Caenorhabditis elegans: one gene and its partner. The protein of the gene in region 2 interacts with the protein of the main gene of each other region in a pairwise test. Each region holds a gene or a part of one and is shown on either strand. Other genes may lie near its edges.

The links.
Region 1: the proteins of gbh-2 (region 2) and cah-6 interact in a two-hybrid assay, tested with the Caenorhabditis elegans proteins (one large-scale study listed by BioGRID).

What each region holds. Positions count from the first base shown.
Region 1 is NC_003279.8:3,626,577-3,631,812, forward strand, and holds cah-6 (Carbonic anhydrase), read left to right. Parts: upstream 1-1,669; 5' UTR 1,670-1,729; intron 1,730-2,860; 5' UTR 2,861-2,894; coding exon 2,895-3,163; intron 3,164-3,324; coding exon 3,325-3,622; intron 3,623-3,669; coding exon 3,670-3,900; intron 3,901-3,945; coding exon 3,946-4,032; intron 4,033-4,079; coding exon 4,080-4,154; 3' UTR 4,155-4,536; downstream 4,537-5,236. Other genes in the region: jmjc-1 (Bifunctional lysine-specific demethylase and histidyl-hydroxylase NO66), read right to left, coding at 4,709-5,079.
Region 2 is NC_003280.10:8,483,892-8,488,092, reverse strand, and holds gbh-2 (Trimethyllysine dioxygenase, mitochondrial), read right to left. Parts: upstream 2,215-4,201; 5' UTR 2,156-2,214; coding exon 2,047-2,155; intron 1,990-2,046; coding exon 1,668-1,989; intron 1,592-1,667; coding exon 1,420-1,591; intron 1,377-1,419; coding exon 1,161-1,376; intron 1,040-1,160; coding exon 930-1,039; intron 885-929; coding exon 584-884; 3' UTR 522-583; downstream 1-521. Other genes in the region: T13H5.1 (Receptor-type tyrosine-protein phosphatase kappa), read left to right, coding at 66-146.

The DNA of each region.
Region 1 (5,236 bases), on a different chromosome or scaffold from region 2:
GGCCTTGAATTGGGGTTTTGTTGTTCCTACGAGCCCATTCAAAATTTCACTATTTAATTTCATGATGTGGCCGAGTTTTTGTAAACCGTTATGAAGAATGACTTCAATATCGTGGCAGGACCCACAAAAATCTCGATTTGATCGCCTATTAAATTAGTGACACTTTCAACTAAAGCTGTCTATATTTCTGAGATTTTTAGATAGTATATACACTAAACCGTCCAAGTGGAACATTTTTCAAAACTAAACTTATAGACTTTTCTACTAGAAACCTCAGCCACTGATTTTTCTCCTCAATCAAATCGAGCTACAACCCTCGGAGCACACTTTTTCTGCAAACTGATCCCCATTATCTTCCGGATTCTCATTCTCCTAGAGCTTCACGGGTATCAAATTCTCGACACCTCCTGATCTTCTTCAAAAGATTCCTTTCATTTTTCGTCGCTTTTTTCTCCCCACCACCCATTCAGAATAATTGCAAGTGTATGTGCAGCATGTATTTATGTAAAAGGGAGAGAAGAAAAGAAGAAAATCTAGAAGAATTATCGAAAGCATTGCGGCGGCCCCCCCCCCCCCCCCCACATTCCCTACATCGAAGAATGTGTGCAGCCGAGCAGCTCGAGCAGCCAGTGGTCTTCCTACCCTCTACTCGAGAGAAGGCGCGCGACTCTATCGACTTTTTTGAGCAGGAGGAGGAGACTCTGTTGATACTTTCAACTTTTTCCACTTTTTTTTTCATTTTCGGCAGGTTTTTGGTTTTTTTTTATGGCGGCGTCCGGTTCTTAAACCGGAAGCTGTCTACTGCTTGGTCGAGCAGAAAACTTTTCGGAATTTTAGAATTTCCCTAGGCTTCCTGTTATTTGATTTTTTTAAAATTTCTCCACTAACTTCGAGGCCCTAAATCTTTGCTGTTTTAACTCTACAAAACATACACTAATTGAAAAAATATAGAAAATAAATTTTCACACAAATTCGTAGTTTTACTTTTTAGATAACTTTTAAATCCACAGAGATATGCGCTGTCAAAGTTGGTCAGCGACAGCGGCCGACATCTCACGACCGCGCCTTGGGCTTGTGTAAAACCTTTAGATGTCGGCTGCTTTATTTTTAGTGTACTTTTCCAACAAAAATGCAAAAAACAACTTTTTGTCAAGTTCTAATTATTTGAAATAAATTTTGGAATTTCTTTGAAATTTTTTTTTTTCGAAAATTTGGAGTTAACGGCTTTTTAATACCTCCAACAGCCACCATAAGCAAAGAGTACGGTGGGCATCAACGCCCGACATCTCACGGGCCTCGCCCTATTGGGCTATCGTAGAGCCGTTAGATGTCGGCTGCTTCACTATTTTCACTTGTAGAGTGTTTTTTTTAGAATCTGAACACCTATTTCCCGCCATTATTTTTTTACAAATTTAGTTCTGCAAAACCAAAAACCCCTTGTTTTCTTCCCCTCACTTCAGTCGCTTCGATGTTTTCAATTTCAATTTCAAAGCGTCAGCCACGTCACTTTATAGTCTTATTTAGCCGTTTCTCTATGTTTTTTCCCTTTTGCTTCTTCCATTTATTTCCTTCTTTTTCAATTCACTATGCGCCGCCCGTCATTGGCTGACTTCTTCCCTCCACTGATTCAAATTCTCTGTTTTCCCTTTTCTCTTTTTGTAGCTGTCTTCTGATTTCAAAACGCGAATAACAGACGGTTGTACGAAAGAATTTCGAGCCGAATCACAGGGTTGGTTTAATAACGGGGATTGAAGCGCGTGATTTACTAAAAATTCGGAGAAACCTGCGCGTAAGATATGGTGCATCTCCGACGGGGGGTTAGAGGAATAGTGCAAAAAACCAAATTGATGCACTATGTTTGGCGCGTACTGAAAAAATTTTTAAAGTTCGATTTTTTGCACCAAATATTTTTTAAAGCCAGGTTATGCTCCGTAGAGCATATACCCACTTTTGCCAAAAACAAACTTAATCGTAAGATATGGTGCATCAAAAAAGTGAGCTCATAAAAAAGTTTGCTGACACCAAGACAGTGCACCCTGTTTGACGTGCTACCGAATATACTTGTTCACTTCTGATAACTCTAGAAGTGTATGTAAAATACGGTGTTTTACGGACGTAGGCTAGACGAAAGTGTGCAGACACAATGCACCATGTTTCACTGCTGCGCACCTCTTGCCTGCCTACCGCTTATTTTTGTGCATTTTAGTCAACGCTAAAATCTATTCCATGTGCTCATCCTGATTTTAATATATTTTTTTTGAAAGTAGGCACGTTCAAGGCAGGAAGACGCTAATCAAGTAACTCTAAAATCTAAAATTAAGATTTTGACGCCCAAAAACAAAAATCAGCAAGTTTTTCACGCATAACCGCGCGCTTTCCTAAATTCTGTAAAAAATTCTTCGCTCATTAACTATGGCTCGGCATGACTTTTTGGTTTTTCGTACGTCACTTTTCATAGGCTTTTTTTCGTCGAGACAAAAAATATTCATCTAACATATGTGAGAAAAGTAATATAGTTTCCCTTTCAATGAGCTCTCAATTTCCCCCCTATAAATATCCTATATGCTCGATTCATTGCTCCTTTTCTCATAATAGCTCAATTTCCTTGAGCTTAGATCTGTCAACATTTTTTGCTTTTGAGCTCGCAAAACAAGCTACCAATTATTGCTCCGTTAACTCTGAAAATAATTTTTTGATTTAGAAACAAGCAGGCTTCATAAGGTCGCTTCGGTCGCTGTTAATTTAAAAAGTTATTTTTAAGACATCTTATTCTCTGAAATTTTTTCAAAATTCTGAAAAATCTTATTTTACATCAATCATTTTCCATTTATTTTTAAACCCTAATCTCAATTTTTTCCAGTAATAACCATCTTCATCTCCACCTCCCACCAACCATGGCATTCCTTAGTCAACTACAGGGTGGGTTTGCCCAACTCAAGCAAAAAGCCGAAGCGGCGGCTCCATCAATCGCTGACTCGTTGAATCAATTGAAAGAGGCTCCAAAGTTCATGGAGAGTGCCTTTAAAACTGGATTGAACAAGGTGAAGCTGGATTCATTGGGCAAGGTGCTCAATGTGCCATCGTTGGGAAGGACTCAGTCGCCGATTGATATCGTTCCGGTTATCACTGCGTTTGGCGAGCATCTTCAGAATGCACACTTTGAGTAAGGAGAGATCTAAAACAGGGGTGTGCGGCAAATTCGCCAAATTTATTGCTTTTCTACTTTGTGTGTGTGCCCTCGTTATTTTTAGAAACATTGATTTTGAAGCTTTTGATATTTAAGCGGAATGTTTTTTTCAAAAAATAAAAGTTTCAAAATTCCAGAGTAACCTACGAATCGACCGGTGAATTCAAAGCAGTAAACGATGGCAATTCGATTTGGCTGATGCGTGAGGGTAACAGCAGTGAGCTGGCTATTTCATTCCTCCCAGAAGAGCAATATCATCTGGACGCTGTAAATTTTCATTGGGCAACTGAGCCGATGAACGGATCCGAGCACACAATTGGTGGGGTTGGGTACGCAGGAGAAATGCATCTTATTCATCGGAATACGCGATTCGCCACAATGGCCGATGCTCTCAAACAACCCAATGGGGTTATTGCGATCGCTGTTTTTCTGAATGTAAGTTTGAATGAGAAAGTTGTGACGTAAGACCTCTAAAATTCCAGGAATCCCACGACGACAACGCAGTGTTCAGTCCGTTGATCAATCTTCTACCACAAGTGATCTACAAAGGAAGTGAATGCAAACTCTGCTCATTCGACTTCCAAACATTCTTCCCGGTTGCCGAGAAGACGAAGGAATTTTGGATGTACGAAGGATCGGAGACAACTGATCCATTCCGAGAGACTGTCAACTGGATTGTCATCCGAGCGGCTCTTCCGATTAGTTCTCATCAGGTTAGTCAATGAGACTGGGAAACTTCTTATTTTGATTGTTTCCAGCTCGACAAGCTCCGCGAGGTCCGTGCCGGACGCTACGACGAAGAATTCTCTGATAAGGTCCCAATGAAGCCACTTCGTCCAATTCAGGTATAAACCTCCAAATCAGACTTTAGGCCAGAAAACTTATATTTCAGAACCCCTCCTCTCGTACAATCCAAAGTAGCTTTCGCTCAGTCGCCGGTGCTCCCGACCTCGGATTCCGACAGTGATATGGTACCTCAACCACCGCCAACCGGCTGTGATACTCGTCTTCTCGTTCAGTCATGCTTTCCGTATACTATTTTTAAGACATAACCCATTCCGGAACTTTAAAGGCACATGCTTCAGCAAGATCTACATTTAGATAGAGCGTCATTATGTGCCTTTAAAGCCCCATTTTTCAGATTTGCAATACAATAATCCAAAAACGCAATAACTTCCCCCAGCATTCACATATTTTTGATTCACTTTTCACACACACTTTTCTCTCCAAAAGGTCTCACATATGCCAAGCGTCTTGATCTCTTTTTGAAAAAAAATGTTTAGATGTATAGTTGTAATAAATATTTGGTTAGATTGGGAAATTAAAAAAAAATTTCATTCACAAATAATAATGATAACAAGAAAGAAAGTAATATAACATGAAAAACATTTGACAAGCCTGCCTCCCACGCCTGGTAGGCACGAAGAGTAGGCATAAAAGATGGTAACAAGAAAAAAACAAAGAAACAGTAAAGAAAACCTACTTTACGCAAGTTTTTCAAATAAATAATTCTTTAAAAATTCAATTCTTAACCAAAAGAACCCCAATCTGGAACAAAAGTTGGATGGCTGCCAAGTTCTCTTTTCTGCTCTTCGTCTTCGTCTCTCTCAACGAGAAGATCTCATACAGAGTTCTCCATTCAGGATAAGAATTTGACAGGACCCTATACGCATCAATTCCACTAATCGGATATTCAACAATCTGCTCTGGACGTCCTTCGAAAAGTCGAGAATTGTTGATTCGATGACTAATGAAGCAGGCATCTTCACTCTCCATCAGCAGTCGTTGAGTGTGTCTTCGAATCAAACGAACTTTGGTTCGAGCAGTGAAATCGACGAGGTCATCTCCAAGAAGATTTGTTGATGAGCCAAGGACGCTGAGCTTCTTCTCCTCTAGAAAATGATAAAGTCAGTATTATTGTTTTTGCTGAATTAGGGTTTCGAGGGAGGGGGTCTCGATGAAATCTCACGATCCGAGTTATGACGGAACCAGGTAGATGAGTGCATCGTATCTTACGCGCAACTTTTTCTTGTCACGGGGAGCATATAC
Region 2 (4,201 bases):
TTTAAAATTTAAAGAAAAAAAATTAAACGTACTCTAAACATCCCATTCTGAAACTCAAATTTCAGAGTAAATTCTCATTCCGTCGACGTAACACAACTCGTCAAAATGAAAATAACGCGGTAGATCAACGTGTGAACAGCAATTGATTCAGCTCGTTTTTTCGAGAATATTCAATTCTTAATTCAGTTCCTTCAACGGGTCGTTCTATTTCACTCAACAATTGTTTTCTGATAGATTTTATTTTGTTTGTAAAATATTAATATTTCTAAATATAGACGTTTTCCATTTCTTCCCCTCTCACCCTTTCAGTACAGAATGGTTCCACTTTTCACACAACATTAATACATATCAAAAATTATTGTTCTATGTATGCATATATTTTTTCTGTGTATTCTCTTTGATAAGCCTTTCTGGTTGTTTATCAAATCAATGCTTTCAGTTCTTTTCACTCTTAATTTTTCCTGCAGCTTCAATTTTGTCTGTGATTTTCTTTCTTGTTTTAATATATTCGATAAATATTTATATTTTTAATTAATTCAAGAATTTATTTGGTTCATAAATAAATATCGATTCATTCAAATATTCATAAAGAAGTTTGTGACTTCCCTGATAGAAATGGAATGGCTTTTGCCATAAAATTATCTCGTGATAAATAACATCCACACATTTGTCGATATCCTTGAAATGATGTTCTTGAATGTAATATTCTAAAATTATCAATGAAGATCACTGATCCAGGTCGTAGAGAAATCTCGATAGAGTTGTCTGGATTATGGCAGATTTTTGAGAACTTTTCATATGCTTCATAGAATTTAATTGTTTCCGCTGCGGAAGCTTCAGATGAATTCAGACATGAGAATGGAGCGCGATCATAGGGATTAAACCTGTAAATATATTTGGAAGGTTCTATTTTTGAAATAAAAATTTACCTAATTTGTGTAATATTTCCAAAGGAATTTCTTTCAATTACTGGTTTTTCTAAACTGACACTGTGAATAGAAGAACCTGGTGGAGAACCTTCAAGATAGTGATGAGATATCTGGAAAAAATCTGGTAACTTTTATGAGTATGTATTCCAAAAGAGCGAACATAATTTGAAAGTTAACACTACATTTGTAAATATGTTGTTTATATTGCAGCAAAAATTAAAAATCACTAACCTTAGTATTGCAAAGTATCTCAAAATCTTCTGGGCTTTCGTTTCTCAACTTCTCAGCGCAATAAAACGAATCTACCAAAACCGTATCTCCGCCAGTTTTTGCAGGTGTGAGACAATGGAACACTTGAATTCCAGGTGTCTGATCAAAATATGTACCATCGGTATGAGGCCCAATTTCATCGCTTCCGTAAGCAGTGTCTTCGTATGCAGGTTCGTCCTGAAAGATGGAATCGAACGTACAACAATAAAAAAGCTATTACATTTGTTGCTGAATTGCTGAAAACCCAAAATTGGCCAAAAAATGTGTCATGGACTGGAACCAAACTTTGGCAAAGTTTTTCCGTCGCTTCTGATGTTCCTTCTACGCCGTCTACTATGATCACACCATACTTCACTAAGTTTTTCGAAAAGCTCTGAAGAGAAAGGGTAGATCTGAAACTCGCAAGATTTATTTTGAATTTTTATTACAGAAATATTTAAAACCACAAATTGGTCAACTTAAACTCACTTTGAAATTCGCGGTACATCTTTCAAGCTTTTAGAATTCCATAATTCATAAATTTTATTATCATTTGAGACATTTTTTTCTACTTTCCCTTCTCTGATAATGTTTCCAATTTTAAATTTTGATTGATGCCCGTCGATCCAAACTATTTGCAGTGAATTTGTTGCTTCATCAATTATTACTTGATTGGAATGCTTTATTTTGGATAAGCTTGTTATATCACAGCAGTTCGACTTTCTTTGATTTGTTGGAAGATGATAAAGTTTCTGAGAAGTACAGTGATCCCTGAGCCAAACGAACGGCATTATTAATTTCGACGGGTTCCCTATAAGAAAACTATTATAAATTTCAAAGTGAAATAATAATTATTAAAAATACTGGCCTTCATTCTCATAGCGTATTTCCAGGCAATCATTTTTTGAGCGAATATTCTTCAAATTCCAGCCGGTAACCCATGTGAAACCTGATACAAGCCTTCTTTGTACAATCATGGCACCTAGCTGAAGAATAATTTTGAAGAGAGAAAGTGAAGAAGATTTCATTATATGACGAAAAAAAAGGTTTATAAATGAAGAACCAAACTACATTGAACTTTGTACAGACATGTACAATGGTAGATAGACACGTTATATACCAGCCACTAAGATAAGAAAAAGGACATTTATAGGTCATATGACAAGGACGTGAAAAATCGAATATTTAAAGTAATGTTTGACTGCAAGGCGGTTTTCGAAAGTGTTAGGAATTTATAGATTAATATTCAAATGATATACTCCTTTTTTCAATTAGCAAACGAGAAACGCTAATCTGGAATAAGTGATTCAAACTGTGTCTAGAATGTATCGATTGATGTTGCCTATTTTCAATAAAATATTGATCTCTGAAAAATAGGTTTATGTCCAGCGGAAGAAATTTAAAACATTTTATTAGTTTTGAATTTTATGTTTCAATAATCGACTAAATGATGTTTAAATTAATTGAAGGGCAACTGTATCTTATAATCCTGCCATCCTAATATGGACTTCCAGGTGCTTCTGAGTTGTCAGTCCAATTCTTTAAGAAATCTCACCCCGGGGGAAAATGTTTGAAATCAGTTCAATTGTGCTAAATCTTTTCAAAAATGTTTTTGAAATGTGTTGATAATTTTATTGGGCAGTTCGGGTTTTCCTTTCCCGTGTCCAATTTCCTTCGCATCATAATGACACTCATATTATACTTTTTTAATTCGACCAAAAATAGTTTTTCTACGATTTTTATATTCCATTCACTTTTCAATAATAATTAACCAACCAAAAGTTGAGACATTCAACAAATCTCTAAATTTCTCAAGAATTCCTACTTTTCCAAAATTTGGCAATTTGCCAAAACTATGGCTACAAATTTTGAGAAATCTAAAACCCCTCGGAATGATTTTTTCCGCTTCCTTTATGGTACAGTCACAAATTTTGTGCAGAAATCCACCGCCTTGTTCAGCAGCAACTTGTTGAAATTATGTTTCCAAGCCAATAATCAAAAAATGATAACCAGAAATGGGAACGCCCCTTTTTAACAAATCAGCTTTGATTTAGGCTTGCAGGGAATGATAAGATGGTTTCCTCTAGAAATTTGTTGATGAGATGATAAGAAACTCACAAGGAAAATACTTTTTTAGAACTAAAAGGTGCATCAAATGTGCAAAGTTCGTGTGACTGTAAACAAATTGTAGTGGTGATTATAGTGTAGACTGGGGAAGTGGAGTGGGAGAGAGATCCAAAATGTGTGAGGTTTAGAGTGGAAAGAGAGAGTGTTGGGTTGTTGAGAGAGAATACGTGTTTATTTCGTTTTTTTTTCTTACCTTCAGTTTAAAAATCAATACTTGGTTTCTGATCTAGTTGTAATTCTTTTTAAATTGTTTATAATAGTCAACAAGCATAAATTGCTTTTAATTGACAGCATTTTCTAATTTATTTGAATTTAATTCAAGACATTCGGATTTAGAAATTATAGATTATGAACTATTGAATAACTGACTATAAAAATAATGTTTAAAGAACTTCTCCAACGCCTAATTAATATCAATGTAGTTTCTACGAATGTTGCGCATAAAGAAAATAATTTTGGAAACATGTCTTTTGACACACAGTAAGTAAACTTTTAAATTAAAAAAAAAGAATTTAATGTGAAATTTAGATTTTATTTTTTTATTTGCTGCAATAATGTTTTGAAAGCCGGATCCGAAAATTGTTGCAACTTCGCTAAACATAATAATAAGTCTAGATCAATGAATCGATCCACATTCTTTACTGCCTATCACTGTTCAATTTCTCTAATTGTAAGTCATAAAACAATTGAATGCACCTCAATCCCCATATGGATTCCTAGGAGAAAATATTTGAACTTGACAACGAGGAACGTTCAAAGAATGAGAGTACGTATTTGTCATCATTTTAGTGCACTAGACACCAGACAGACGGCGGCCTACGTGACTTATCGCGCGTTTTTCGGGTCCGAAACGTGAATCTTGCGAAGAAAAACCCCGCCTAAAAGTATCATTAAAG